Oryctolagus cuniculus: one gene and its partners. The protein of the gene in region 4 interacts with the protein of the main gene of each other region in a pairwise test. Links are inferred from orthologs where the notes say so. Each region holds a gene or a part of one and is shown on either strand. Other genes may lie near its edges.

Region 1 (3,500 bases), about 110 Mb from region 4:
CCTCTCTATACTTAAGATCTCCAGGGCAGGCAATCATGTTTGCTAGTGCAGAAAGCATTTCATCTTATGTGAAAGTAAAATTGTTTTGCAGCTGAGCTTTGTCTAATTGTGGAAATGAATTTGTAGATACATTTTTAGATACATCACTTGCAGGGCAGACCCTTCATGATCCCTGCCCCAAACCCAGAAACCAGGTAGCTTCCGACAGCGGAAGACACTTGTTTTCTAAACCTTGTCTTACTTTCTAGTCTTACCGTGACCTCAAAGAAGTGACTCCTGAAGGGCTCCAGATGGTAAAGAAGAACTTCGAGTGGGTTGCAGAGAGAGTGGAGGTAAACCTTCACAGTAAACCTGTACTGTATTGTGTTCTCCTCTGAGAAAATCCTGTTTCACACAAGGTGTGGACACACGCAGTGCTTCTCTGTCAGCGACTCTGCAGGAGAGAGGCCCCTACAGGGAGTGGGCAGCCTGTACACTGGCACTTCTGCTGTCGAGTTGGCCTGTCCATGCCTGCCCGCCCTGGTAGAAGAAACTTTACATTTCCTGCTTGCTTCTCCCCTCACTGCTCAGGGTTTTGACCTCGGGGTGGATAGAACTTCATGTAGCTTTTTAAAACACTGCTTTAATGCGTATGGTATTTGTACTATAATTCCATAGAAGCTGAATGGGATTTGTGGTTATCCAAGGCTCATACTCACCTTTCAGAACATTAATTACATGAGAATAGACACTTTGAGCTCTGGGCAACCCACTGGAAAAGATTTATAGCATGATTTCTAAATTTGGCCTGTTATACCTTAAGAACCACCGTTAAACAGAATGCCCTAAAACTTAGAATGAAATAGTTTGCTGTAGTTTCCTGACTATTAATTAAAAAAGATTTGAGTATGTATTATTTTTATTAATAAACATAATTTATCTGACTAAAAGTCTGATGGGGGGGCAAGATTTATGTGAAAGGCAAAGCAACAGAGACAGAGATCTTCCATATGCTGGTTTTACTCCCTCGATCAAAGTCAATCTTGGTCTCCCACATGAGTAGCAGGGGCCCAAGGGTTTGGACCATCTTCCACGGCCCTCCCAGGCACAGTAGCAGGAAGCTGGATTGAAAGCGAAATAGCCAGGACTGGAGCTGGTGTTCCAGTGTGCAATGCCAGCATTGTAAGCAGCAACAGAACCTGGTCTTGGTCCCCTGTTTATGTCTTGATTATGAAGACCACTTTCCTTAATATAGAGAGTTTATTTTTAAAAATTTAAGCCTCTATCATTTGGTTTTTTTATCTTAAATTTGGTCTAAGAAAATATTCTGCACACATGTAATTTTATTGCAGACTGTACCTCTGTAAATCAACTGTTCTTATGGTACTCATGTTTGTTTTTATTTTCTTTTTTCTTTCTGTGGTTTTCTTTTCCAGTTGCTTCTGAAATCAGAAAGTGAGTGTAGGGTCGTAGTCTTGATGGGCTCAACTTCTGATCTCGGTCACTGTGCAAAAATCAAGAAGGCTTGTGAAGCTTTTGGAATCCCATGTGAACTCCGTGTAACATCTGCCCATAAAGGACCAGATGAAACCCTGAGGATTAAAGCTGAGTATGAAGGTAACTTCAGAGAATTAGCGCCCTCTGGGTGCTCCTTGGACTTCATGACCCTGAAAGAGAGCTTTCCCACAGCTCCAAGGGACCATCATGTGCCATGCTAGGCTTGTGTGGTACTCCTCTCCAAAGAGCTTAAAGTACTTCAGGAGCTTGTAAAAGAAAGGAGCAGGGGGAAGAATTGCAACTGTAGGCTGAAAGGTAGACAGTAAAAGTGTGAGAACTTCTGAGGTCTTCACCTGCTGAAGACACCCCAAGCATTCTTTCTAATGTGCGCCAACGTATGATGGCTGCTGTCCATCACGAGAGTCCCAGAGTTGGAATAGGAGAGCTCTCTGGGAATGAGCTGCCCTTCCTGGGAAGCAGTCAAACACAACGTTAAGAAATATTGCAGTACATAGTACATGATGGGATAGCATTAATCTAAAATAGAGACCTGGATTTACAACCCAAATGTATCTCAACTGAAAAAAACAGTGGTTGGCTGTTCCTTCTACAGGTAATTGCTGTGGAAATGCACTTGTTAATTTGAGGGAGGTGGCAGGCAGGAGGAGGTCTCAGACCCCTTGGTGAGCTGATGAACCTAGAACTCTTTGACCAAGAAACTCAACTTTGGATTCTAGGTTACAAATCTCTGCTTTAGGAAAGGGATACTTTTAATAAGTTCATTAAAGAATGAAATGATTGAGTCAAGCATGTATGTTTACAGTTTAATATGTTTCAAATAGAGCGTCTTAAAAAGGATTTGTTTGAAATGAGGAATTATAGACAGCGAGTGAGAGAGTTTTCACTGGCTGGTTCACTTCCCAAAATGCCCATCAGTGCCAGGGCTGGGCCAGACCGAAGCCAGGAGCTCAGAACTCCATGCAGGTGGCAGGGACACAGATACTCAGGGCATCTTCTACTGCTTTCCTGGGTGTGTTAGCAGGGAGCGTATCGGAAGTGGAGCCGCTGGGACTCGAACCAGCTCTCATTGGGTCATCAGTGCCCAGCCCTAGATAATTTTTTTTTTTTTTAAGATTTATTTATTTATTGGAAAGGAAGAGGGGAAGAGGCAAAGGCAGAAAGAGAGAAGTTTTCCATCTGCTGATTCACTCTCCAAATGGCTGCAACGGACAGAATTGCCCCAGTCCGAAGCCAGGAGCCAGGAGTTTCTTCCAGGTCTCCCAGGTGGTGCAGGGGCCCAAGGACTTGGGCTGTGTTCTACTGCTTTCCCAGGCCACAGCAGAGAGCTGGATCAGACCTGGAGCAGCCGGGACTCTAGTGCCCATAGGGGATGCTGGCACTGCAGGCGGTGGCTTTACCTGCTTTGCCACAGTGCCAACTCCAAGGATAATATATTATTAAACTTGCCTTCAATTCTTTTTTCCATGAAGCGCACCTGAACCTTCAGTCACTGCTAAGCGGGTGTCCCTGGCCCCCTTTTGATTGCAGGACTGCTCCGTGGAAAAGATCCCTTTTCAGTTGTTGACACCCTTTGTTTCCAGCAGCCAAAGCAGAAGAGGCCTGTGAGCCATCCTCCCAGACACCCTCTCACATCCCCTTGTATTCTAGAACTTAAACATGGCCCAGCATATCCAAGCTACTTTATTATCTGACTTATGGTCAGTGGCAGAGTGAACCTACATTATGAGCATGTGTCTCCTAATTGGGTCTCATTTATGCTTTCTCCAGAGAACACTACTTGAAGAACTCAAGAATTTAATGCCTAGAGGTCTTTCTAAAACAAAAACGTATTAAATCTCCTTTGAATGTTTAACGGCATGGTAAACGTGTGGTTTCCCTAGGGGATGGCATCCCTACTGTGTTCGTGGCAGTGGCAGGCAGAAGCAATGGTTTGGGCCCAGTAGTGGCGGGTAACACGGCGTATCCAGTTCTCAGCTGTCCCCCACTCACCTCGGACTGGGGAG
Region 2 (3,989 bases), on a different chromosome or scaffold from region 4:
ACAATCATAACATTTTAGAAGGGCTCAATTTATTTCCCCTGCACTTTTGCAGGAAATTACTAGAGAAAGTACTTCAGCAAAACAAGGGAGTAAACTAAGAGGAAGATACTAAGCCATAAAAACAAGGCTCTAGTACAAGAGAGGTAAAGGGAATGAAGTGCCTGGATGACAGCTATTCAGCAGGACTTACAGCCACTAGTACAGACTAGAGAAAAAAAAAATAGAAGAGGGAGGACTGGAGGCTGGAGAAAGGTTCTAAGGGGAAATAGAACTTGCAGGTATTTGATGTATTTAGATGCTTCATTTGATGCTATGTAGGTAAATTAAGTACACCACCAACAAAAAGACAAGGAAAAACAAGGTATTAACTTGAGGGGGACAGATATAAAAAAATGAAATAATATTATTACTTGTCTTGGCAAAAATGATATTGATGGAGTCATGATGAAGTAAATATTAACTGCTGAGAACATCCTTATATGGCAGATGGGAAGGAGAAAGGGTAAGAGACTTCAATTCTCAACTATTCTAATTCAGAAAATTTATGGTATCAAAAAAATAAAAAAATAGCAGCATGCCCTGGAGCGCCTACTTATTTTGAAAAGTAAAGTGCATGATTTTGCAGTCCGTTCTGGAGATAACCAGGGACGTGTGGATCCCAGGGAAGTGGCTTTACAATGATCTAGACACTTCTGTATTCACCCCACTGTAAGGTAAACCACCGTGGCCCAGGATCTGTGTTCGAAACCCGGACACGGGACTCCCGCTCTGCGCTTCTGCTGGGTCAGGCGGAACCTCAATGCCAAGAGTTCGACGCCGCTACCCTTGCGGACAGCTCTCACCCTCCCTCCTTTACAAGCGTCCTGCGCCCTCGGAACTGCCAGGAACTCGGGCGCGCAGCCTCGCGCTCAGCCTCGGCAGCGGTCCGGGGCGCAGGGACCGCCGCGGGCACTGTGATGCGCAGTGAGCGCCCCAGGGATCAGAGCCCTGGGAGCCATGGCCACGGGCGCCGCCGCCGCCCCGGGTAAGCAGCCGAGGAGCAGGGCCCCCTGTCCCAGCCTCCGACGGCGCGAGAACACGGCGAGGGGCGAGGGCGGGAGGCGGCACCGGGACTGGAGACACCGAGGGCCGGATTCGGGGGCCCCCCGGGGGCCTGCGCCTGCTCCAGGCAACCTACGCGCCGCCTCTCTTCAGAGGCGGTTACTACTTCCGAGGTCACGAGCCCGGGACGCGTTTAGGGCGCACGGCCTGGCGCGCGTCCGCGGGCGCCGACCACCAACCAGCGCAAACCTCTGAGGAAATGACTGCCCTTGTTCGGCGGCCCGCGGCCCGCTACCGTTTCCTTCCGTCTTTGCTCAGCGCGGGGTTTACGGACGCATGGCGCGCTCGGCTGCGACCTGAGCGCGCAGGACTCTCCGGGCCTGGCCCGCCCCTCGGCCCCGCCACGCAGCGTCGGCTGCTGTCCAGCGCTACCCGCCGGAGCCGAGGCTGCAGCGGAGCCAGTAAAGCCGGGGCCGGGCTGCAAGTGCTCGCTTTCTAAGGCGTGGGGAGGCTGGGGGCCGCTGCACCGCCCCTGCCAGGGGCCAGGGAGGGCACTGCGCGCGACCAGGGAGGAAAGCCCCTGGCGTGTGCCAGTAGGGGGAGGGGGAAAACGCTGGGCCTAATTACGCACGAGAGCGAGTCCATTCCATCTCTAGGTGGGAGGGTAGGGGTCGTTGTCGGTCTCTTGCGGACGACACGGCGGAAGCCATCTCCATAGGTCTGGGGCCATGATTTGAGTTCGTGAAGTTTTAAGAGGCTCCATCGTTTCCAAACCCAAACCTGGTCAGAGAGACGGCCTCCCAGCCTAAAATTTGAACCTCTCCACCCCTCTCCGCCGGAGCTGTGGGCTCGTCCGGGAGGTGGGGCGGGGCGGGGGAGAACTGGCGGGAAGCTTTTAAAGAGATTGTGGTGGTCCCCGGGGCTGGGCTCATTCTGCGCTCTGTTGTCCCCTCCCCCATCTCTTCCCGCTTCTGCTATCGCTTGCGCCGTCACGCTGCCATGCCCTGCTCTGAAGAGGCACCGGCCATCTCGCCCAGCAAGCGGGCCCGGGCTGCGGAGGAGGGTACCATGCGGCTGCGCTTTTCCCGCCTTTCGGAGCACGCTACGGCCCCGACCCGGGGGTCTGCGCGGGCCGCGGGCTACGACCTGTACAGGTGGGTGCCGGCCCGGGAAGAAAGCTGGGAAGGGCCGCACCATGTGTCCCCGCTCTCTCTACTACCGCCTCAGAGGTGGTGCAGAGCGCGCGAAGTCGAGTCAGCTTGCATTTAACTGGAAACATTCGCCGAAAAAGTGACCAAAATAAACCGACCGACATTTCTATGTTGCAAAACGTTAATTTTTGGCTTTAGCGGGGAATCCATAGGGATTTGGCTGCAGCGTGTAGCATGGTAAATAAGGACACGTATGATGTGTCTACCCGGGTGGGTTTTTATTTGGGCACTGGTTATGCCCTTATCCAGTGGAAGATGGAGATGAAAAGGGTCGGTGTTGGCCCTCAGAGCGTGGCCTGAGGCTGACACGGTGCGCATTAGAAAGGAAAGCCTAGGTGGGAGACTGGCTTCTCGTACGCTGAGAACCCCTCTCAGGAGGTGAATGAATGCTGCTGCTACCTGCCTGCAAGGCTTGCTTCTATATGCATCCACCTCAGTAAGGACCCGACTATGAGAAGCAGGGACACCAGGCACACCCTTTCATTCGTTCAGCCCCTTGGCCTGTACTAAAAGCTTTCCCTTATACTATTTTATATCCTCACGAGAATCTTGAATTAGATGAGTGTTCCTTTTTGCAGATAAAGGAGTATATGAAGATGTGAATTTATCTGCCCCAGGGCTCGAATGTCATAGAATTTTTTTTTTACCCTGAATTTAGTGGGTTTTTGTTTGTTTTTGACTGTGCTTGGTTCATAGTTGAAAAGGGATGGTGGGAGGGAGGTGGTGTTCTGTGATTAAATTCCAAGCATTTGGATTCATTTTTAGGGCATTCCAAGTAATCAGATGTGAGAATTTGTGCTCTGAGTACAGGAGAAGGGGAGAGAGGAGTGCATGATGGCAGTACCAGAGAGAGGAATGGAAAAGAGAAGTGGGATGGGTAGGCTGCCATAGCCCAAAGCGGTGTAGTGTAGTCTCTTAATTTTAATGGATAAAAGTAGAGTGATAATCGTTTGACTGGATCCTTCCCAAGTGTATATCTGGGCACTGTTGTGAGTCCTATGGGAGACTGATTTAAAATACTTTAAGCATCCACCTAATGAATATAAATGACCTTCTGGATACTACAATTGTCGTGGAAATAACCTAACCCTTTAGTAAATCAGGGCTTAGCTATTTAAAGAGGAAATTTCAATATAATCTATATATTAAATATAGTAATACCTTAACAGATTTAATTGAAGTCTCCAAAGTAACTTCCACTTCTCATTGTAAAATCTCTTGAATTTTTATGAAGTAGTTGTCAAGTCTCCCAGTGGCATTTTGTTCAGGGGTGAAGACATTTACAATGTTGACATCTCTTCTCTCCACTAAAATAAATTCACAGAGAATTATATCTAAGCTATCGTCAATTTAGTAATATGCAAAAGGAAAATTTCTGCTTTATAAACTTTTTAAAAAAAGAATTTGAAATTCATCATAGCAAGATAAAAGAAGATTGTATGAATTATTTTATGAAATATATTTAAAGCATTTCTGTGCTTGGTCACAAGGAAAGAAAATGTAAAAACAATTGTAAGTAAATACCAGTTCTTTTCTTTCGATATCTTCTTAGTGCTTATGATTATACAGTACCACCTATGGAGAAAGCCATTGTGAAAACGGACATTCAGATAGCTCTTCCTTCTGGATGCTATGGAAGAATAGGTATGTAATTTAAGGAGCAGGTAAATTTTGTCAAGTTCTCCCTTTGTGATGTGGTCTTTCATGTAAGTTTTGTTAAGTAAAAAGGGGTATTGC
Region 3 (3,730 bases), on a different chromosome or scaffold from region 4:
AGCAGCCAGGTCTCGAACTGGCGCCCATATGGGATGCCGGCAGTGCAGGTGGAGACTTTACCCGCTACGCCACAGCGCCGGCTCCTTGAGGCCTCTTCCACTGTTTTCCTAAGCATATTGACAGGGAGCTGGATGGGAAGTGGAGCAGTTGGGACTCAAACCATTGCCCATATGGGATGCTAGCGTCACAGGCGGTGGCTTAACCTGCTGTGCCACAATGCTGGAGCTGACAGCTCCTTTAAACACACACACACACACACACACACACACACACTTCTGTTTAGGGGCCAGCGCTGTGGCATGGTGGGCTAAGCCTCTACCTGTGATGTCGGCATCCCCTACGGGTGCTGGTTCAAGTCCTGGCTGCTCCTCTTCTGACCCAGCTCTCTGCTGTGGCCTGGGAAGGCAGCAGAGGATGGCTCAACTGCTTGGGCCCCTGCACCCACGTGGGAGACCCAGAGGAAGCTCCTGGCTCCTGGCTTTGGATCGGCACAGCTCTGGCCGTTGTGGCCATGTGGGAGTGAACAAGTGGACGGATGATCTCTCTCTCTCTCTCTCTCTCTCTGTAACTCTGTAAGTAAATAAAATACTAAATAGCAACAAGAACAACAAGTTCTCTTAGGGGAGAGGGCCATTAGCCTAGTGGTTAAGGCACCTGTGTCCCACCTCGGAGTGACTGGGTCTGGTTCGGGTTCTGGGGCCCTGGGAGATGATCGGGCTCCTGGGTCCCGTGTGGGAGACCTGGGTTGAGTGGATGGGAGTTGTGTGTGTGTGTCTCTCTCTGAAATAAATGTAAAACATAAAGTAAAATTCTCAACCCTCTCCTCAACCCCTCGTGGCTGTCGCGAGTGTTACCCTACTCACCCCGGGATCCCTGGGAGGGGCCCGCTCCCCACCTCTCGAGGACGGAACGGACGCCCACAAATTCCCTGCAACCCTGGGGCTCGGTATGCGGCCCGCGGGGGACTTGATACAAAGGCGGATTTCATGGCCTGCAGTCCAGACTGGCTGAGTCGGAACATTTGGGCCCGAGGCCTAGGATTCAGTGTTTAATCAAGCCCGCCAGGGTACATTTTTATGCCTTCTAGAGTCAGGACGACAGCCCCGCACGGTCCCCACTGGACCCTCCGAGGGAGAATACACAACACTTAACTCCCCACCTCCCACTCCTGAAACTACAACTCCCACAATGCCCAGAGAGACCACAACTCCCACAATGCCCTGCGAGCCAGACTGCCGTCATGGCGCCCAGTCGCCCGTCGGGACTACAACTCCCACAATGCTCGGGGAGCAGAGCTCCTCCCCCAGCGGCGCCGACGCGGAGCCACGTCCGCGCCGCTGGGTGAGGCCTGGCACCGGCGGGGCCCGAGGGGTCTGCAGGGCCCGGGGCCAGTTACAGCGGTTCTGCCCTTCACAACGTAGACATGGCGGCCCCGAAGGACCAGCAGAAGGAGGCCGAGGCCGAAGGGCTGAGCGCCACGTGAGCGAGCCCGCTGTAACCCGGGGGTGCCGGCCCCGGCCTCCTCTCCCCTCGAGTCGCGGGGGTCCTGGCCCCCGGACACCGAAACGTCTTTCTAGGACGCGAGTCCGGTCCCCCGGCCCCTTCCTCCCCCGGGATCCAGGGGAAGCCCCTCCCTGCCCCGCCCCGGCCCGCCCCAGGGCCCAGGCGCCGGCCCTCCCCTCCCCCCTCCGCTGGTGTCTGGGAGGGGTCGGGGGTCCCGGCTCACCGCTGCCCCCCCCCCCCGCCCTCCAGGACCCTGCTGCCGAAGCTCATTCCGTCCGGCGCCGGCCGCGAGTGGCTGGAGCGGCGCCGGGCGACCATCCGGCCGTGGGGCGCCTTCGTGGACCAGCGGCGTTTCTCGCGGCCCCGCAACCTGGGCGAGCTGTGCCAGCGCCTGGTCCGCAATGTGGAGTACTACCAGAGCAACTACGTGTTCGTGTTCCTGGGCCTCATCCTGTACTGCGTGTGAGCCGGCCCGCCCCACGCCCAGGGCGCCCTGGCCTCCGCCCGCTGCGGCCGGGCCCGGGCCCTGACCTCCTGACCTCCGCCTCCCTGCCCTCCTCCTCCAGGGTGACGTCGCCCATGCTGCTGGTGGCCCTGGCCGTCTTCTTCGGCGCCTGCTACATCCTGTATCTGCGCACGTTGCAGTCCAAGCTCGTGCTCTTCGGTGAGAAGTCACCTCCTGGCCTCTCGGCTCGCAGACCTCGGCCCCCAAGTCCCCGTCCCTGGGGCCTCACCCGAGCCTGGCTCTCGGGATTCCCGCAGGCCTGACACAGCTGGTGTCCCAGCCTCAGCCCCCGCGTCGCCCTCGCTCACCCCCTGGCTAAGCCCCAGCCCTGCCCCAGCCGCCGCGCCCTCCCCGCCTCTGCGGGAAGCATCGCTGCACGTCCCCACACGGGACACCAGGTGGCGCCCTTGCACCGGCCTGGCCCTCCCCACCTGTCTGCGCCCCGGGGTGGGACCGGGGAGGTCTTGGGGCTGCTTGGGGAGGGGAGTCCAGGCCGTGCCTCCTGCTACCGAGCAGAACTGGCAGGTTGGGGGGCAGCCAGGGGGTGGTCGGGATCAGGGAGCCAAGGGCAGGGGGGCTGGGGTTGGCAGAGCGGGGAGGGGTCCCTGAGGAAGCCCAGCCACACCCTGGCCTCGCCAGGCTGCAGGTGGCGTCTCGGCCGTGTGAGGTTCTGTCCATTTGTGTCCTCCACCGGCTGAGACTCGCCGTTGGAAGCTGAGCTGGGAGCTGAGGGAGGCGGTGGGGACGCTGGGGGCCGGGCAGGGGGCAGGGGCCGCTTTGGGGGGCCGGGTGGAGGCAGCTGCCCATGCCGTCTGCCCGCAGGCCGTGAGGTGAGCCCAGCCCATCAGTACGCCCTGGCCGGAGGCGTCTCCTTCCCCTTCTTCTGGCTGGCTGGGGCCGGCTCCGCTGTCTTCTGGGTGCTGGGTGAGTGCCGGGCCGGGGTGGCGGGGTGGCGGCGGGGCCGGGCCAGGGGACCCGCCCTGAGCCGCCCGTTTCCCTCAGGGGCCACCCTGGTGGTCATCGGCTCCCACGCCGCCTTCCACAAGGTGGAGGCTGTGGACGCGGAGGAGCTGCACATGGAGCCCCTGGAGCCCGTGTGAGGCGTCAGCGAGGCCCCCAGCCGGGCGCCCACCCTTGCCCACTGCCCACCGCCAGCACGTGCCCCATGTCGGGGGTGGCTTCCTGAAATAAAGCTGTGACGCTGTCACACAGCACGCGGCCCCCAGGTCTCCTGTGACGTCACTCAGCACAGGGCCCCCGGGTCTCCTGTGACATCACTTGGCACGCGGCCCCCAGGGTCTCCTGTGATGTCACTGGCACGCGGCCCCCCGGGTCTCCTGTGATGTCACTGGCACACGGCCCCAGGGTCTCCTGTGACATCACTGGCACACGGTCCCCCGGGTCTCCTGTGACGTCACTGGCATGGGGCCCCCCAGTCTCCTGTGACGTCACTCAGCACAGGGCCCCCAGGGTCTCCTGTGATGTCACAGGCATGTACCCCCGGGGTCTCCTGTGACGTCACTGGCACACGGCCCCCAGGGTCTCCTGTAACGTCATGGCACGTGGCCCCCCGGGTCTCCTGTGACGTCACTGGCACGCAGCCCCCCAGGTCTCCTGTGACGTCACTCAGCACACAGCCGCAGGGTCTCCTGTGACGTCACTGGTACGCGGCCCCCCGGTCTCCTGTGACGTCACTGGCACGCGGCCCCCCGGTCTCCTGT
Region 4 (4,085 bases):
ATGATCTCACTCTCTCGTTCAGTCATCCCTGGAGGCAGAAGGGAGTCTGGCAGCAGTACTGCCCCCACTTCACAGGTGGGAAAACTGAGGATCACACACGCACGGAGCCAATCTGTTGTCCTGGGGTACTGCACCCAGCCCCAGGGAGCTGGTTGAGAGGTGTTGGACAGGGCAAGTGCCTCAAAAGCTTAGGGGGTGCCCGTGTGGCCCTGCACAGGGCTCTGTCTGCAGCAAGCGTGCAGCCAGTCCCCCACCGCGAGAAGGGTCTACGGCTCCCCAGTGGAACCTGTTCTCAGGCACAAGCCAGGAGGGTGGGCCTTTGCGGCGTAGCCCAGCCTGCAGGCTCCGGGGCTGCCCGGGGCCCACACGGCTCCTCTCGAATAGCCTGCCTTGCCATCCACCCTGGCCAAGAAAAGCTGCCAGGAACCTAATCGGAAGCCCACCACATCCCCAAGGAGCGCAGAGCCGGCCGGTCAGCAGGGCGGGTGGGTGGCTTTGCTCTCATCAGCCAGCTACTGTCCCCAACCCCCGAAGGCGGAGGGAGGAGGGGCCGGTGGGGGAGGCCTGTGTGGGTGAGGAGCCCAGACTTGGCTGGCTCTTCGGATTCCTCCCAGCTGGCGGCGAGGAGGAAAGGTCAGGCTGAGCCGAGCGAGCGGGAGCTGGCCACGCTGCAGCGCCCTGCGCAGGACACGCCGTGGACAGGAGGACGCTAAGGGCAGCCCCCAGTGCCCAGCCCTGTCCCCTCCCCGCGTCCGGCCCGCCCCGATCGTGATCACTTAGCATTTAGGCTGTCACCCTCAACCGACTTTTTATTATGGATCAGAACCTCGCGTTCCCGAACCCCAGCCCTCGGCGGGACATCCAGTACGTGTCAGCGAAGTCAGAAGAAAGTTACTTAGGTCGTCATCATCTCAGACAATGCCCTGGCGGGTTAAGACAAAAGGCGGGGGCCGCGGGTCCCGGGGCGGACACCCTGGCCGCCGTGACGTCATCGGGCCTGTGACGTCACCGCCGCGGCGCCCCGCACCCTGCGGGCCAGATGGCGTCACCATCGGAACCTGCGTAAACAAGTATGCGCTCGGGGAGCCGCGGCGAGAGAGAGACAGAAAGAGACAGAGAGAGAGAGACAGCGCGCTGACCCTGGGGCAGGAGCCGGGCCGGAGGTCCGCTCGGCCCCACAGGGCGTTAGGCCCCCTGACGGGCTGGCCCCGCCCCGGGCGGCCGGCGCGGGCCAATCCGGGCGGGCCGCGGCGCCACGCAGCCTATCAGCGGCCAGGGCTCGCCGGGCGCTTCCGCGTTGGGCAGCTCGCCGGCGCGGGCCGGGCCGCACGCTCGGCCGCAGCCCCGCCTGGCCGCTGCGCGGGGCCCGGGCCACCGCCCGCCGGGGCCCGATGGCCTCGGAGGACCTGGCGGGGGCGCTGGCGGCCGTGCTGGAGGGCCGGGGGCTGCGCGTGCACAGCTGTGACTCGGGGCCGGCCGGGCAGCCGCGAGCGCGGCTGCGGACCAACGTCTCCTACGTGGTGCTGGCCGTGTTCCTCAACGAGCAGGTGAGCGAGCCCGCCGGGCCCTGCTGGGCACGAAGACACAACGGCCAGGGCCGGCGCCGCCTCGCGCGTGGCGTTCCCCAGTTCTGCAAAGCACTCACTCACGCGCGCCTCGCAGCCCTGTGGGTGGCCGGGTGCACAGAGGGCTGCGCCCTGGCCCTCGGTTCCTGCAGCACAGAGCTCCCCTCCCCCAGGGCCTAGCACGGTGTGAGCTGGCTCCCCGGGACGTCTGAGGCGTGGCCTGCGCCCCCCCACCCCCACCCCCGCCTGGTTATGGCACAAGGCAGGCTCACGCTCAGATCTGACCCCTTGTCGCTGCTCTGGGTCCCTGTTGTAGGCTGTGAGATAAGAATCAGAAGGGGCCAGAGCCCCAGGTGGGCCTGCATGGGGGTGTTGGGGGGGGATCAGAACCCAGACCCCAGAGTGAGGACCTGCCACTAGGCTGTGCACCCCATGGGGACGCGGGAGACACACAGTGACACAGTGGAGACACACGCGCAGCCCGATCTTGACCCACAGAGAGCAGCTGGCTGCAGGCCCCCCGCCCCCAGGGAGGGGGTCTTGGGCAACCCCAGGGCAGGGAAGGGCCTGGCTGGCTGGCCTCTCCCGTGCGTGGTGGAGAGTGCCAATCCCCTCTCCCCTCAGGACGAGGTGCTCCTGATCCAGGAGGCCAAGAGAGAGTGCCGGGGGTCGTGGTACCTGCCGGCGGGGAGGATGGAGCCCGGGGAGACCATCGTGGAGGCCCTGCAGCGGGAGGTGAAGGAGGAGGCGGGGCTGCAGTGTGAGCCCGAGACCCTGCTTGCCGTGGAGGAGCGAGGCCCCTCCTGGATCCGTTTTGTGTTCCTGGCTCGTCCCACAGGTATGGCTCTCCTGGGGCAGTGCCGTAGCCGCCTTCCTCCGACTCCTCCACCCCCACCCTGTGGTCTTCCGGTGAGATGAGCCCACTCCCTAGCCAGCCCTGTGCTGACTGCTACAGCTCTGGCACTGGCAGACCCTAGCCTGGGGAGGTGGGAGTGGGGGAGGCTCAGCCCCGGCCCCGGCCCCGCTCGGGGTTAGAACCAGGGTGGCCTGCCGGGTCTGTGTCCTCTGTGAGATCCGGTGCTTCTTCCCACCCACACCACTGCTCCTGCCCCCACTCTCCCCTAGGTGGGACGCTGAAAACCTCACAGGAGGCTGATGCGGAGTCCCTGCAGGCTGGCTGGTACCCACGCAGCTCCCTGGCCACTCCTCTTCGAGCCCAGGACATCCTGCACCTGATAGAGCTGGCCGCCCGGTACCGCCAGCAGGCCAGGCACCCTCCCGTTCTGCCCCAGGAGCTGCCCTGCAGTGTGGTGTGCCAGCGGCTCGTGGCCACCTTCACCGGTGCCCAGACGGTATGGGTGCTGGTGGGCACGGTGGGGGCGCCTCACTTGCCCGTCACGGCCTGTGACTTCGCCCCTATGGAGCAGAGGGGCGGCCTGAAGGTGGCCGTGCTGCGGCTGCTCCAGGAGTGCCTGACCCTGCACAGTTTGGCCGTGGAGACCAAGGGGCTGCTGGGGTTGCAGCACCTGGGCAAGGACCATGCCGACGGCATCTGCCTGAACGTGCTGCTGGCGGTGGCTTTTCGCAACCCGGGCATCCAGGAGGAGCCCCCGAAGATTCGGGGTGAGAACTACGCGTGGTGGAAGGTGGGGGATGCAGGCCTGCAGGGCCAGCTCCTCCAGAGGTTGCTGGACTGTTCTGCTGTCCCACTGAACAGATAGGTGCCCTCCCCGAGGGACGCGGAAGCCAGCAATCTGGGCTCGTGCTGCATCGGCAGCAGAGGCTGCTCTGGGTCTCGGGGCCTGCGGGGAGCAGGCTACCACAGTGCATCAGAAGGGACAGTGCCTTCACCAAGCAAAGGGTCCAGAGGTCCAGGGCCCTGCCGCCAAGGGCACACGATGCGTCTCCCCCCCGGGTTGGGGAGGGGGACGCGGGAGCATCCTGGAGTCTCGTTGTTCTGTGTGCACCCCCATGAAGGCCCCGCCCTGGCCTCTGCGGGCACTTGGGGCTCCCAGGGGACCAGGAGGGCATCCCTTGCTGAGTAAACAGGTGTTGCCACCTGCCTTTCCTGCCCAAATGTCTGTGTGGGGAGGACACGAGGGGGCTGCTGCTGTGTGGCCCCCGGCTCAGCAGTGGCCGCCGCCCAGGCCTTTCCCTGACAGTGTGCTGGCACTGGCACCGGGCAGGACGTCACCGAGGGGACCACAGCCCCAAGGGAGGCTCAGCTATAACCCTGCGGGGTGGAGCAGCGGGCATCTGCAGAGAGCTGCCGGTGGGACGGGAGCTGTGAGTGGTGTCCCCGTCTCTGCCCAGCTCCATTCTCCTGGCCCGCCCTGGGCCGGATCCTCCACCGCCTGGCCTTTTCACAAGTCCAGTCCAAGCTGGAAACCCTTTTCTCCACTGCCCCCAGCCCAGGCCACCCATGGTGGGATTTCTTTCAGCTTTGCGAAAAACACAAGGGGAAAAACCACAGGGGACAAAATGTGCCACTGGCTGTGTTCAGGCCTGTGTCCAGCCACG
Region 5 (4,158 bases), on a different chromosome or scaffold from region 4:
TAAGGTAGTGAGCCTCAAGGTATACTCTATCAAAAGTCACCTAAGGTTGGTTGTAAAATGCAGATCCCTGTGCTCCATCTGAGACAATCTCTGGAAGCTATAGAAAAATTCTATACACACACACTGCCGAAGAACCACTGCTCCAGGGGGTATTTTATGAAAATCAGCCTGAAGAAACTGAAATAAAATATTCCCATCCCCCAATCTTTAGCAACTGCAAAGCACTCATCTTACCCGTGGGGCTTTGCAAAGCTCTTTTTCCCAGCCACAAGCAGCTCACAATGTGCACCCAATGTCCATTCTAATTTTTTAAGTAAAAATTCATTCTGTGGAGTGCCAGGAATGATGACTGGTGGGTAAAAATGTTAATCCCATTCTTCGCCCCACTCTTACCCTCTACCCCGGCCCCGTGCATGGAAGAATTATGCCGGGCAAGCCTTTTCACACAGTGCACGGTTAAATACTAGAACTGTATGTCAATTGCTGTCAATCAACATCACTACCAAACGGCGATTTTCTATAGCACATTTAGCCCCTGCCAAGTTCCACCCTTTCGAGCTAATGTTCTGCTTGAAATATTTTCTGGAACTTATGTCTGTAATGCCTCATGTACAAATTATGATTTTTACGGGTCATCGCGTGGGGAGACCCGAGTGGCCTCGAAGAGCTTACATCTCCCAAACGAGACGAGCCTAGCGAATGAATAACGGCCAGCCATGGCTGTGAATCTCAACCTTGGGCAGCTTCTCGCGTGCCGAGATGCCTGACCACACAGATAGGCCTTACAAATAACCCAAATTCCAAGGCAAGGTCGAATCAGGGGACAGAGTCAAAATCTCCCAGCTCCCAAGAAAGCCCTTTGCGGCATACATCAGGCCAAGTCAGCGGACCCACCCACGAGAAAAGAGGAAAGCAAGAAGGGAGCCGGGCACCTCCACACCCAGACACAAGACCTCTGTCCATCACGTCCCTGACCCCGGGCCCACTGCTCTGCTACAGAGAAACTGAGGGCACCCCTGCACTCACCCCGCAGCCACTGCGTGCTGTGCAGCCATCTCCAACTAGCCCCGCGGCCGACAGAGCACCTAGCAGCCCCCTTAACCAGACCCAAGCTTCGCTGGCCACCGAAGCCCAGAAGGTATCGCAGCAGCGCCGGGTCACAGCCCAGCCTCCAGGAGGCCGCCATCTTTCCCGGCCTTCTCCCGGGCTGCCCACAGCACAGCCTGATCGCCCAGTCCCAAGGCCCTCCCTGGCCCCACCTTCCATCTGGCAGGCCACGCCCCTAAGACGCCAGCCGGACCTATAGGGCTCGGACACTGCAGAGACTTCCGGGAACCGCCTCCAACCTCGTTGGCCACGCCTCCCTGTCGGGCAGCGGCTTCGCAGGATTCCCCCAGCCAGCGAGGCCCTTCCAGGCCCCGCCCCACCGGGTTGCCCTCAGCGCCGCCTGATTGCACTTGCAGCCTCGCCGCACTAGCCCAAGCGGGGCGCCGAGAGAACGCAAAGTCCTGCGAAGACGAGAGGCCGAGGATCATCCTAGTCCAAGTCATGTCTGGTCGCCTTGCTCCGGAGGGAGACTGTTGCTCCCGGCGCTGTGGCGCGCAGGTAGGGGCGGGGCCGCGGCTGTCCGGCTCTTGGGAGGAGGCGAGGCGCTGCGGGGCGCGGGCCCGGCGCGGGGGCGCGGGCGGGCGCGGGCGGGCGCGGGCGGGGCTTCTGTCATTGCCAGTCGCGCGGCCGGCGGCGGGAGCTGGGGGCTGAACCCTGAAGAAGGGCGGGTAACGGAGTGAGGAGAGTGTTTGGGCGACTGGAAGATAGTCACACACGGGTGTAGGCAGGCCCCCAAAGTAAACCTCGTTGAAATACCAGCATCGAAGTGACCCTTCATGAAGGGACCCACGGATAAAGTAGGAGTCTCAACCCAGTCGTAAGCCTGACAGTTTGACAGACGTGTTTTGGTTCCACGCGTGTTCATGAAAGATTTGAACCAACAGTTGGAAATCGGGACCAATTTCAGCCTCGCTTAGAACTTGGCCAGTCATGGCGGTGCTGGGCCTTGGCCATTGTGGGATCTGGATGGAGCTGAGTGGCGAGCACCACCTTTCCTGGCCGCTGCTTCCACTACTCAGAGACTTGCATGTGCGCTGAGGTGCACTGGGCCCCCGACCTCTGTGTCCGCTTGGTTTACACAAGTACATTTAATCGAATCGGAGCAGCAATTAGAGAAGTGTTAACACCCTGTCAGTGTAGTGTTAGGGTATCTGGAGACGATTGAGAGAGACGGTCTCATTGGCCTTAAGGGAAGTCTTCAATTGTAAGTACTGAACTTAGTACGCACGTTCAGTGTTTCCTATGAACCTAGCATTGTAGGTTTTACACAGTGCAAGCCACATCTGGTTCCTTCCCTCACAGGGCATTCTGTGTAGTGGGGGATAGAAAATAGGAACAGAGATAAGGACAGTATGACTGGGACATACTGTGATGAGAAAGTTTAGGATACTGTATGGGGCACAGACTTGAGATGAAAGAACGCCTCTGGAGAAAATGAGGCCTCAACTAAGGCCTAAAGGAAGACATAGTCCCATGAAATGCAAAGGAAGGGTTCCAAGTAGAGAAATGGCATGTATAATTCTTAGTGACAGGGATAGACTAAGTCTTCATTGTCAAGAGAACTTTTTTTTTTTTGACAGGCAGAGTGGACAGTGAGAGAGAGAGACAGAAAGGTCTTCCTTTGCCGTTGGTTCACCCTCCAATGGCCGCTGCGGCCAGCGCGCTGCGGCCGGCGCACCACGCTGATCCGATGGCAGGAGCCAGGAGCCAGGCGCTTTTCCTGGTCTCCCATGGGGTGCAGGGCCCAAGCACCTGGGCCATCCTCCACTGCACTCCTTGGCCACAGCAGAGGGCTGGCCTGGAAGAGGGGCAACTGGGACAGAATCCGGCGCCCCAACCGGGACTAGAACCCGGTGTGCCGGCGCCGCTAGGCGGAGGATTAGCCTAGTGAGCCGCGGCGCCGGCTGTCAAGAGAACTTTGATGTTCCTCTCAAGAGAATGTAAAGTAGGGAGAAAGGACTTGGGAAGAGATAGGCCGAAGAGGAACACCAGAACCAGACGTGTGTGGCCTGATAAGCCAATCTGAGAACACAGGCTTGTATGCTAAGGGCAGTGGGATGCTCCAGAAGATGGCTAAAGAAAGCACAAAATGCTGACTCGAGGTGAAGCTGAAGGGATGGGAGACAAGATGGGAGACAAAAGAGAAAGCTTGGCAAGGGATGGCAGTTTCGGGAGTGTGGGAGGTAGGCAGTGAAATCAAGACAGTGTAGTTTGTTGATTAGATGTATTATATTTGAGGAAAGCAGGAACCAAGAGTGATTTCTAGGTTTCTAGTGGAGTAACTGGGGCTTGGTGATCCCCAAGAAAGAACACAGGAGGGAGAAGTGGTTTGTGATGAGCCTTGCCTTTTGAGGTCCATGGCTCGGTGTGTGGTCTTATAAACTGGGCAGTTGCATTTATGATTCTCAAGCTCAGAAGAGAGAGCGTCATTAAAGAGTTGCAAGGTGGAGCAGGCAGTTGACACAACGGGTAAGATGCTGCTTGGGATGTCTGGGTTGGACACCCAGCTCCACTCCCAATCCCAGCTTCCTGCTAAGGTGTACTGTGAGAAGCAAGCAGGTGATGGCTCAAGGGGTTGGGTCCCTGCTACCCATGTAGACAACCTGGCTTGGTGTCTGGCCAGGTCTCAGCTGTTGTGGGCATTTGGGAAGTGGACCAACAGGTAGTATACACCTATGTGTGTGTGTCCGTGGGTGTGCACATGCACCTGCCATTCAAATAAATTTAAAAAAGGAAAACATACTTGGAAGCCTTCACCAAAACCTTCCTTCTAAAAACTTGTGTGTTTATTGTTTTTCCTTTGATAAACATTCTCCTCTTAAACCGTATTTAATTACTTTCCTTCTTCTGTAGTCCTTTCAGTAATGTTATTTTATCATCCTGTGCTCTAATTTCCCCGAGTGATTTGTGTTTCAGCAACTTTCTTCTGGTACTCTACAAAGATTCTTCAGGCACTGGTGTATTATTTTCAGGTCAAACTGAACTCATAACAGTAATCTGTACACAGATTTCATGGTTCTGAAATTAAATCCCCAGTGATTTACTTCAGGC
Region 6 (4,137 bases), on a different chromosome or scaffold from region 4:
CCGTCGCCGGCAGGGGGCGCCCCTCGGAGCCCTGCTCGCCGGAGCCCCACGCGGCCCGCACATCCCGCCGGCCCCGCCCCGCGCCGAAGTCGCCATCTTCGCTCCCCTCCCCCCGGCGCCTTGCGGGTCGTCCTCGGCCGCGGAGCCAATCAGGGCGCGGGGCGGGCCGGGGCGGGCCCGGGCGGTCGGGCCGCAGATAAAGCGCGGGCCGCGGGGCCCCGGGAGCCAGGACCGGAGCAGAGCGCCGCCGCCGTTGCGCGCCGGCCTGCGCCGTCCGACCCCGCCGCTCCCACCGCTCCCGCCGTCCCCGCCGTCCAGGTGAGTGCGCGGGTGGGCGCCGCCTGGCCCGCAGGGTCCCCGTGCCGCCGGGTGACCCAACAATGCGGCCGCGCCCCCGGCCCGCGCCGCGTCCGCCGGGCCGGGGCCGAGACGAGGCGCGCAGGGCGCGGGGCGCGCAAGGTGGAGTCGCGCTGCTCCCCCGGGGGCGGGAAGCGGGGGGGCCCCAGCCGCAAGGCGGCCCCGAAAGCCGCGGACGAAGATGAGGACGACGGCGCCTCGCGCTCCTCCGATTCCCCCTCCAACTGCTTCGGCTTCGTGGCCTACTCGGTGAACTCTGGGGAGAGGGCGCGCGCCAAGGTCAAGACCTCGGGCCCTTGGAGCGAGCGCCTTGCGTCCCCGGCGCCGTCGCCGCGGAAGCTCCGGTGCCTGGACCAGCACGACACGGAGCCGGCGGGGCGCGAGCGGGGGGTCCGGGCGGGGGGGCTCCGCGCCGCGCCGCACCTGCCATGGCCGGACCTGCCGCGGCTCGGGTGAGCGCCTGGAGCAAGGCGGGCCCAGGGCCTGGGGCCGGGGGACTCGAGCCCGGGTGGGCCCCGCCCAGCGCAGCCGCCGGCCCCGCCCGGGAAGCGGCGTCTGTTTTCCCTGCGGTGGGGATTTGGGGTCACGGCCTGTAGTTGCTAGAACTGTGGTTTGGGGGGGCCTCCCGCCCTCCGCCTCCTGTCCGAGGGTGGGGGTCTCCTCCAGGGCGGCAGCCTCGGCTTCTGAGCTCTCGCGTGGAGTACGAAAAGGGGGAAGCAGGCCCCGAGGGAGCAGATCCCAGCTCGGTCCCGGGGCCCAGGCCGCCACCCCCTGAGCTAGCAGCAGGAGTGGGGCTGGGACTCCGGGCCTGGGCTGCGTGTGAGTCGGGGCCTGGTGACCAGATCCGTCTCTGGGGCCGGTGCGCCGCCGGCTTCCTCCTGCGGGCTGGGCGTGTTGCTTGGGAGGGAGGGGCGGCCCCGGCTGGTGCAGGCTCGCCCACGGTGTCGTGTTGCTTCGCTCTCCCCAGAACGCCATCCACCATGGCCACCTCGGCAAGCTCCCACCTGAACAAGGGCATCAAGCAGGTGTACATGGGCCTGCCGCAGGGCGAGAAGGTGCAGGCCATGTACATCTGGATCGACGGCACGGGGGAGGGGCTGCGCTGCAAGACACGGACGCTGGACTGCGAGCCCAAGTGCGTGGAAGGTGAGTCGGCCAGGAGGCCGCCCCCGCCACGGCGGCCCCTGCGGGGCTCGGCAACAAAGGGACCCTGTGTTTGAGAGGAGGCCTGAGCCAGAACCAGGGTGTTTAAAAGGAAAAAAAAAGATTTAAAAGCTTTGCAGGGGTAGGGGGCGTGGCCATGCTGAGAGTCCCCGTCAGGCAGTGCCCATGCACCTGTTCCCGGGGGGCTCCTGCGTGGTCGTGGCCCCGTGGGAAGGGCCCCCAGGGGGTGCCCAGGACACGGAGTTGTGCACTGCCTGCAGGCGGCCGAGGAGCCCGGGGGCGCCAGGAACAGGTCTGCATAACCTGGGAACATGCTGTGGGCGGGTCCCGAGCCGCCTGCCCGGGGGTGGGGGTGGGGTGTGACTTCAGAGGTCTAGCATGTGCCTCCCGGTGCACAGGGGACTTCTGGGGGGAGGGGGTGACAGGTCCCTGGGGCGGTTTCTGTGACTTGTCTTCATGAGACAATGCCTGACAGTGCCTCGGTGGTCTTGCTGGGAGGCAGCCACCAGGGTACGCAGGGGAAGCAGCCTTGTGCCCCTCCGGGACGGGACCCCGCTGTGGGGCCGGGAGGGGGACTGGCTGCCTGCCTGCATGAGGCCTCACGGAATTTTCCGTCTGTCCCGCCAGAGCTGCCCGAGTGGAACTTTGACGGCTCGAGCACCTTCCAGTCGGAAGGCTCCAACAGCGACATGTATCTGGTCCCCGCCGCCATGTTCCGCGACCCCTTCCGCAAGGACCCCAACAAGCTGGTGTTCTGCGAGGTCTTCAAGTACAACCGGAAGCCGGCAGGTGTGTGGGGCGGGTGGGAGCCCCGGGCCTGACCTGCGAAGAGGTGGTGGTCCTGGAGCCGCCTTGGGTTCTGGGGCTTGAGCGTCCGTGGCTGCGCGCCGGCTTGCTCTGGAGAGGAGCTGCCGTGGCTGGGCCGTGGCTGGGCCGTGGCTGGGCCTGCCTGCTGAGGGCGTTGCATTCTTCTGCCTGTGCACTGGGGAGGGGGGGGGGCCTGAGTCCTGGGCTGCCCCTGGTGGGCAGTGAGCTCCCGAAGCGTCTCCTCATCTTGCGGTAGGGACGGTGACGACCGCGTCCTTAGAAGACGTGAGCCGGCACACGCCGTCAGGCCTGCTGGGGGCCGTGCTGTGCTGCCGTCCTCTGGGCCCCCGCCGCTCCTCGCGTGCAGCTCCGCCCCCCTTTTTCCTGTGCAGCCTCTTGCTCCCGCCAGTGAGGCTGCGGGGTCCCCAGGCCTCGGTGCCCCGGGGAGGCAGAGCTCCAGTGCCGAGACGGCCACGGGCCAGGGTTGTGGTGAGGGCTTGGCCGAGCGCTTCTGGGCGACACAAAGGTTGCACGGGTTCCTGGGCACAGTTAAGTCTGTGAAAGCCTTGCTAATGGGGACGCTGTTTCCAGCTGAGGTCACCTGACCTGGGTCTTCCTGCACCAGCAGCGCCCTGCTGCCCAGGGCGAGCGCCTCGGTCAGCCGTGGGCTCCAGGAGCCCGGGGAGGGAGGGGAGGGCGGGGCGGCCCGGTGCCTGGCTCCCTCGCCTGTCCCGATGGAGCTTGCGCCCCGGGGCCTGGTGTCGTGAGTTCGCCTGCGGCCCAGGTCCTTCAGGGTCGCCCCGCAGGTGCTGCTGTATGGCTGCTCCCGTTCTGACTTGCGGGGCGTGGGCAGGAGGTTGTGGGAGGTTGGCCCGGCGGCCCCTGACCCTGCCGCTCCGCAGAGAGCAACCTGCGGCACAGCTGCAAGCGGATCATGGACATGGTGAGCAGCCAGCGCCCGTGGTTCGGCATGGAGCAGGAGTACACGCTCATGGGCACCGACGGACACCCCTTCGGGTGGCCTTCCAACGGCTTCCCTGGGCCCCAAGGTGAGCCCCTCGCGCCCGCCCCGCCCCAGTGCTCGCCTGGGACGGCGGCAGGGAAGCCCTGGCTGCTGAGCCCTGCCCTCTGGCCTCTGCAGGCCCCTACTACTGCGGCGTGGGGGCCGACCGGGCCTACGGCAGGGACATCGTGGAGGCGCACTACCGGGCCTGCCTCTATGCCGGCATCAAGATTGCGGGGACCAACGCCGAGGTCATGCCTGCCCAGGTGACTGCCGGAGCAGCAGTGGGCACACGGAGGCTCAAGGGCCCCAAACCCAAGGGCGGGGCGGAGTCCAGGGCGGCGGGGCGCCTGCCCCTCTGACAGCGGCCTCTTGCGCTCCCAGTGGGAGTTCCAGATCGGGCCTTGCGAGGGCATCCACATGGGAGATCACCTCTGGGTGGCCCGGTTCATCCTGCACCGCGTCTGTGAGGACTTCGGCGTGATAGCGACCTTTGACCCCAAGCCCATCCCTGGGAACTGGAACGGCGCCGGCTGCCACACCAACTTCAGCACCAAGGCCATGCGGGAGGAGGACGGGCTCAAGTGCGTGTGGGCATGGCCGGGGGATGGGCCTTGGGGGTCAGGGTGGGCTTTGCAGAGCCCCCTGCTGGGAGCCCTGTGGTTGCTGGCGGCTGGGAGCCGGGAGGCAGGCAGGTCCACCCTGTGCACAGCTCAGACCCAGCCGGTGCAGGTGTGGGGAGACCCCCGGCTGCCACCCTCCGGGGTCCTGGGGTCCGTGGGGGCTGCGGCCGGCTGGACCTGGGT
Region 7 (3,500 bases), on a different chromosome or scaffold from region 4:
CAAGCCAGCGCTGTGTGACTCCAGGCCCTCTCTGGGCCCCCTCTGTAGAGCGGGGGCAATGCCATCAATGCCGTTGAGAGAGTGTTGTTCAGTGGAGCAGGGTGTCGGGCACCCTGGGTAGGGCATGGAACAGGGTGGGTCCCCTGGGTACAGGCCCCAGCCCATGGGGGCTAAGACTCTTGGGAGTGTCGGGGAGCCCTGGCCAACAAGACTCCCGTAACCCACCCAGGGAAGGGTCTTGGGGGCCTCCCTGTCCCACAGACCCTGTTGTGGGAGGGAGTGGCAATCAGTGTACCCAGCTTCGTCCTCAAGTCCAACTCCCCGCCAGACAGACCCGGCCCCAGGAGCTTCAGGCTGTACAATGGGCAGTTTCAGAGCCCAGGGCAGGCTGAGCTGGGCAGCTGGACAGGGCCTGGCGAAGGGCTGGGAACAGGCTCACTGCTGCACTTGCTGGCTGCTGGGTCCCTTTGTGTTATCAAGAGGGAAACTGAGGCTTGGGAGCTGCTTGGGGGCCTCCCAGAGTCCCGAGAACAGGGTGCTGGCCCCCAGACTTGCCTTTCACCCTTACCCCTCAGCGCTCCTCAGTCTCACCTTTCGCTTGGCCCTGTTTCTCCTCTTGTCTCCTTCCGCAACTTCCCCTTGGTTATCAGCGCCCTGGCCCAGCCCCCCACCCCGGCCCTGCCCCAGCGGTCAGAAGCTGCTGGCTCAGGAGCCGGGACTTTCTGCTGAGCAAGCAAGTCCAGAGGTGCTGTCTTGGCACAAACCACCAAGCCCTCCCCCCTTCCCTTTCCAGGGTCTGTGGAAGCAGGGCGTGCGCATGGGGGCAGAGCGAGGACAGAGGCCCCACGCTGCCTCCAGGGTCTTCCGCTTCAGCTTCAGGAAGGAGGGCCCCAGACCCAGGAAAAGGGGTGCCTGCAGGAGGCTGCCAGGCAGGCCAGGAGTCCAGAGGTGGGGGTGGTGCCGCGACTGCTCCCTGCAAAGCACAGGAGGGGGGTCTGCCTTGCCAGGGCTCTGCAGGACCTTCCTGCCCCAGCCCTGCAGCTCTGGCCTGCCCCTCCGCTCCGCTGTGCACGGGAAGGGGCAGACTTTCCATGAACTACTTCCCACCAACATTTGCAGGAACCGCATCGTGGTGACTATGCCAATGAAGGCAGCTCTCACTGGAGCGACTCCGAGGGCTCAGATCTCACCCACACCCCCCACCCCCATCCCTGGGATTCACCATCACTGGGTGGGAGGCTCCCACTTGGTGAAACAGGGACTCCAGTTCTCAAGCTCTTTTGTTTTTCTCGTTGTTCATTTTTTAAAAAAAAATTGTAATTAGTTTTTAACAGATTCAGTATAGTTTGTAGATACGGTTCTAAAAATATAATGGTCTTTCCTTCCTCCCTCCCTCCTTCCCATAACCCTCCCTCCCCTTCCCTTTCTTTTTTTCAGTTTTTGAGATAACATATTTTATTTATTTATTTATTTATTTATTTATTTATTTTGGACAGGCAGAGTTAGACAGTGAGAGAGAGAGAGAGACAGAGAGAAAGATCTTCCTTTTTCCGTTGGTTCACCCCGCAAGTGGCCGCTACAGCCGGCGTGTTGTGGCCAGTGTGCTGCGCCGATCCGAAGCCAGGAACCAGGTGCTTCATCCTGGATTCCCATGCGGGTGCAGGGCCCAAGGACCTGGGCCATCCTCCACTGCACTCCCTGGCCACAGCAGAGAGCTGGCCTGGAAGAGCAACCGGGACAGAATCCGGCGCCCCGACCGGGACTAGAACCCGGTGTGCCGGCGCCGCAGGTGGAGGATTAGCCTAGTGAGCGGCGGTGCCGGCCTTCAAGCTCTTTTTTTTTTTTTTTTTTTAAGATTTGTTTATTTATTTGAAAAGCAAAGTGACGGAGAGAGATCTTCCATCTGTTGATTCACTCCTCAGATGGCTGGTGGAGGCAGAAGCCAGGAGCCTGGAACTCTAGTCGGGTCTCGCACATAGGTGGCAGGGACCCAAGTATTTGGGCCATCTTCTGCTACCTCCCCAGGCGCTTTCACAGGAAGCTGGATTGGAGGCAGAGCAGCCAGGATTTGAACCAGCGCTCCGATTTGGGATGCCTGCATTGCAAGCCGCCTTTAACCCACTGCGCCAAAACGCCAGCCCCTGGATTTCTCAAACTGTACACTCACCTGTTCAGCAAAAATGAGTTGTGTGATGGCTGTGTGTTGACCACCTGCTGTGTGTCAGGCACAGATCTAGGTGCAGGGCTGGAGGGGGTGGTTGACGGAGATGCGGGAGCCCTGACCTCACACGTGGCCACTCTGCCTCAGTGACAACCCTGGTGATAGCCGGCCCCATGTCAGAGATGGAGAGACTGAGGCCCAGGTGGGAGGTGTGCTGCCCAGGGCTGGCCCTCCAGGTCTCAGGACCCCATCCTGCACCTGCTGATGCCTCTGTTTGCCTTGCAGCTCGCCCCAGCCAGACGAGGGCCTCCCATCGCCCCTCCCAGTTGTCCCTGTCCCCTGGAACAGTGCAGGCCCCTGCAAAAGCCACAGGGAGGCCCCAGGAGCCCTGGTGGAGGCCTGCGTGAGGGAGGAGGCCCAGGGTGAGGAGGGCCCTGCAGCTGCCCGGCTGGACATGTCACGGCTGCGCAGCTCCTCCATGGAGATCCGCGAGAAGGGCTCGGAGTTCCTGAAGGAGGAGCTGCACAAAGCCCAGAAGGTGAGGCCTGAGGCCGCGCAGAGCCGGCCCTGGGCGGGTGGACGCAGCCTGGGGACGCCCAGAGATGCCCCAGGGAGAGGGGTCGTGTGCTGCATCCGAGGCCCGGGCCAGGCACGCAGGGGGCACAAGGCAGAGAGCGATTCTTCTTACGTCTTTTATTGAACATTTTTAAAAATTTATTTGAGAGACAAAGAGAGCTCCCCAAACGCCTGCCCTGGCCCTCAGGCCAGGGCCAAAGCCAGGAGGCGGGAACTCATCCAGGTCTCCTGTGGGTGGCAGGAATCCAATCACCTGAGCCGTCATCACTGCCTCCCCAGGTGCACATCAGCAGGAAGCCAGAGTCAGGAGCCAGAGCCGGGAGCGGAACCCAGGCCTTCTTATGTGCGATGTGGGGTCTTAGCCCCTAGGTCAGACATTCACTCCTTACCTTTTAAATGGTGTTCACGAGCCTTGCCTATTCTAAGACCCCTCTAACCTGCGATGGATTGATGGGCAGGTTCCAGCCTTTCACTGTGAGCTAAAAATGGACCATAAACTCACACCTGAAGAAGTGAGCTCAGGCCCAGAGCTCCACATATGATGTCCAGAGGAAGCAGCCCGGTCGGGTGCCGTCTGCCCTTCCCCGGAGCTCCCAGCCCCTACCCTGTGTCCCCAGGAGCTGAGGCTGAAGGACGAGGAGTGCGAGCGGCTATCCAAGGTGCGGGAGCAGCTGGAGCGGGAGCTGGAGGAGCTGACGGCCAGTCTGTTTGAGGTACGCTGCGGCACAGCCCGGGGAGCCCAGGCCTGGGCTGCCTTCGGCTC

The links.
Region 1: the proteins of NUDT18 (region 4) and PAICS interact in binary tests that used the Homo sapiens proteins (3 or more experiments, as listed by UniProt). The two-hybrid records come from large-scale screens. The link is inferred for Oryctolagus cuniculus from reciprocal best matches to the Homo sapiens genes NUDT18 and PAICS.
Region 2: the proteins of NUDT18 (region 4) and DUT interact in binary tests that used the Homo sapiens proteins (3 or more experiments, as listed by UniProt). The two-hybrid records come from large-scale screens. The link is inferred for Oryctolagus cuniculus from reciprocal best matches to the Homo sapiens genes NUDT18 and DUT.
Region 3: the proteins of NUDT18 (region 4) and RABAC1 interact in binary tests that used the Homo sapiens proteins (3 or more experiments, as listed by UniProt). The two-hybrid records come from large-scale screens. The link is inferred for Oryctolagus cuniculus from reciprocal best matches to the Homo sapiens genes NUDT18 and RABAC1.
Region 5: the proteins of NUDT18 (region 4) and APIP interact in binary tests that used the Homo sapiens proteins (3 or more experiments, as listed by UniProt). The two-hybrid records come from large-scale screens. The link is inferred for Oryctolagus cuniculus from reciprocal best matches to the Homo sapiens genes NUDT18 and APIP.
Region 6: the proteins of NUDT18 (region 4) and GLUL interact in a two-hybrid assay, tested with the Homo sapiens proteins (2 studies listed by BioGRID and IntAct). The two-hybrid records come from large-scale screens. The link is inferred for Oryctolagus cuniculus from reciprocal best matches to the Homo sapiens genes NUDT18 and GLUL.
Region 7: the proteins of NUDT18 (region 4) and RAB3IL1 interact in binary tests that used the Homo sapiens proteins (3 or more experiments, as listed by UniProt). The two-hybrid records come from large-scale screens. The link is inferred for Oryctolagus cuniculus from reciprocal best matches to the Homo sapiens genes NUDT18 and RAB3IL1.

What each region holds. Positions count from the first base shown.
Region 1 is NC_091439.1:108,079,519-108,083,018, reverse strand, and holds part of PAICS (bifunctional phosphoribosylaminoimidazole carboxylase/phosphoribosylaminoimidazole succinocarboxamide synthetase), read left to right. Parts: intron 1-248; coding exon 249-332; intron 333-1,415; coding exon 1,416-1,596; intron 1,597-3,377; coding exon 3,378-3,500. UniProt on the Homo sapiens protein: Bifunctional phosphoribosylaminoimidazole carboxylase and phosphoribosylaminoimidazole succinocarboxamide synthetase catalyzing two reactions of the de novo purine biosynthetic pathway.
Region 2 is NC_091443.1:71,080,680-71,084,668, forward strand, and holds the start of DUT (deoxyuridine 5'-triphosphate nucleotidohydrolase, mitochondrial), read left to right. Parts: upstream 1-1,189; 5' UTR 1,190-1,300; coding exon 1,301-1,502; intron 1,503-2,056; coding exon 2,057-2,195; intron 2,196-3,804; coding exon 3,805-3,896; intron 3,897-3,989. UniProt on the Homo sapiens protein: Catalyzes the cleavage of 2'-deoxyuridine 5'-triphosphate (dUTP) into 2'-deoxyuridine 5'-monophosphate (dUMP) and inorganic pyrophosphate and through its action efficiently prevents uracil misincorporation into DNA and at the same time provides dUMP, the substrate for de novo thymidylate biosynthesis.
Region 3 is NC_091449.1:12,583,810-12,587,539, reverse strand, and holds RABAC1 (prenylated Rab acceptor protein 1), read left to right. Parts: upstream 1-1,283; 5' UTR 1,284-1,424; coding exon 1,425-1,480; intron 1,481-1,753; coding exon 1,754-1,966; intron 1,967-2,070; coding exon 2,071-2,168; intron 2,169-2,831; coding exon 2,832-2,933; intron 2,934-3,011; coding exon 3,012-3,109; 3' UTR 3,110-3,230; downstream 3,231-3,730. UniProt on the Homo sapiens protein: General Rab protein regulator required for vesicle formation from the Golgi complex. May control vesicle docking and fusion by mediating the action of Rab GTPases to the SNARE complexes.
Region 4 is NC_091439.1:1,194,098-1,198,182, forward strand, and holds NUDT18 (8-oxo-dGDP phosphatase NUDT18), read left to right. Parts: upstream 1-1,285; 5' UTR 1,286-1,391; coding exon 1,392-1,547; intron 1,548-2,189; coding exon 2,190-2,403; intron 2,404-2,690; coding exon 2,691-3,286; 3' UTR 3,287-3,629; downstream 3,630-4,085. UniProt on the Homo sapiens protein: Mediates the hydrolysis of oxidized nucleoside diphosphate derivatives. Hydrolyzes 8-oxo-7,8-dihydroguanine (8-oxo-Gua)-containing deoxyribo- and ribonucleoside diphosphates to the monophosphates. Hydrolyzes 8-oxo-dGDP and 8-oxo-GDP with the same efficiencies.
Region 5 is NC_091432.1:31,094,414-31,098,571, forward strand, and holds the start of APIP (methylthioribulose-1-phosphate dehydratase), read left to right. Parts: upstream 1-1,358; 5' UTR 1,359-1,548; coding exon 1,549-1,605; intron 1,606-4,158. Other genes in the region: PDHX (pyruvate dehydrogenase protein X component, mitochondrial), read right to left, coding at 1,027-1,186. UniProt on the Homo sapiens protein: Catalyzes the dehydration of methylthioribulose-1-phosphate (MTRu-1-P) into 2,3-diketo-5-methylthiopentyl-1-phosphate (DK-MTP-1-P).
Region 6 is NC_091444.1:796,938-801,074, reverse strand, and holds the start of GLUL (glutamine synthetase), read left to right. Parts: upstream 1-1,337; coding exon 1,338-1,503; intron 1,504-2,148; coding exon 2,149-2,310; intron 2,311-3,230; coding exon 3,231-3,377; intron 3,378-3,469; coding exon 3,470-3,597; intron 3,598-3,715; coding exon 3,716-3,915; intron 3,916-4,137. UniProt on the Homo sapiens protein: Glutamine synthetase that catalyzes the ATP-dependent conversion of glutamate and ammonia to glutamine.
Region 7 is NC_091432.1:10,259,713-10,263,212, forward strand, and holds part of RAB3IL1 (guanine nucleotide exchange factor for Rab-3A), read left to right. Parts: intron 1-2,446; coding exon 2,447-2,699; intron 2,700-3,354; coding exon 3,355-3,450; intron 3,451-3,500. UniProt on the Homo sapiens protein: Guanine nucleotide exchange factor (GEF) which may activate RAB3A, a GTPase that regulates synaptic vesicle exocytosis. Promotes the exchange of GDP to GTP, converting inactive GDP-bound Rab proteins into their active GTP-bound form.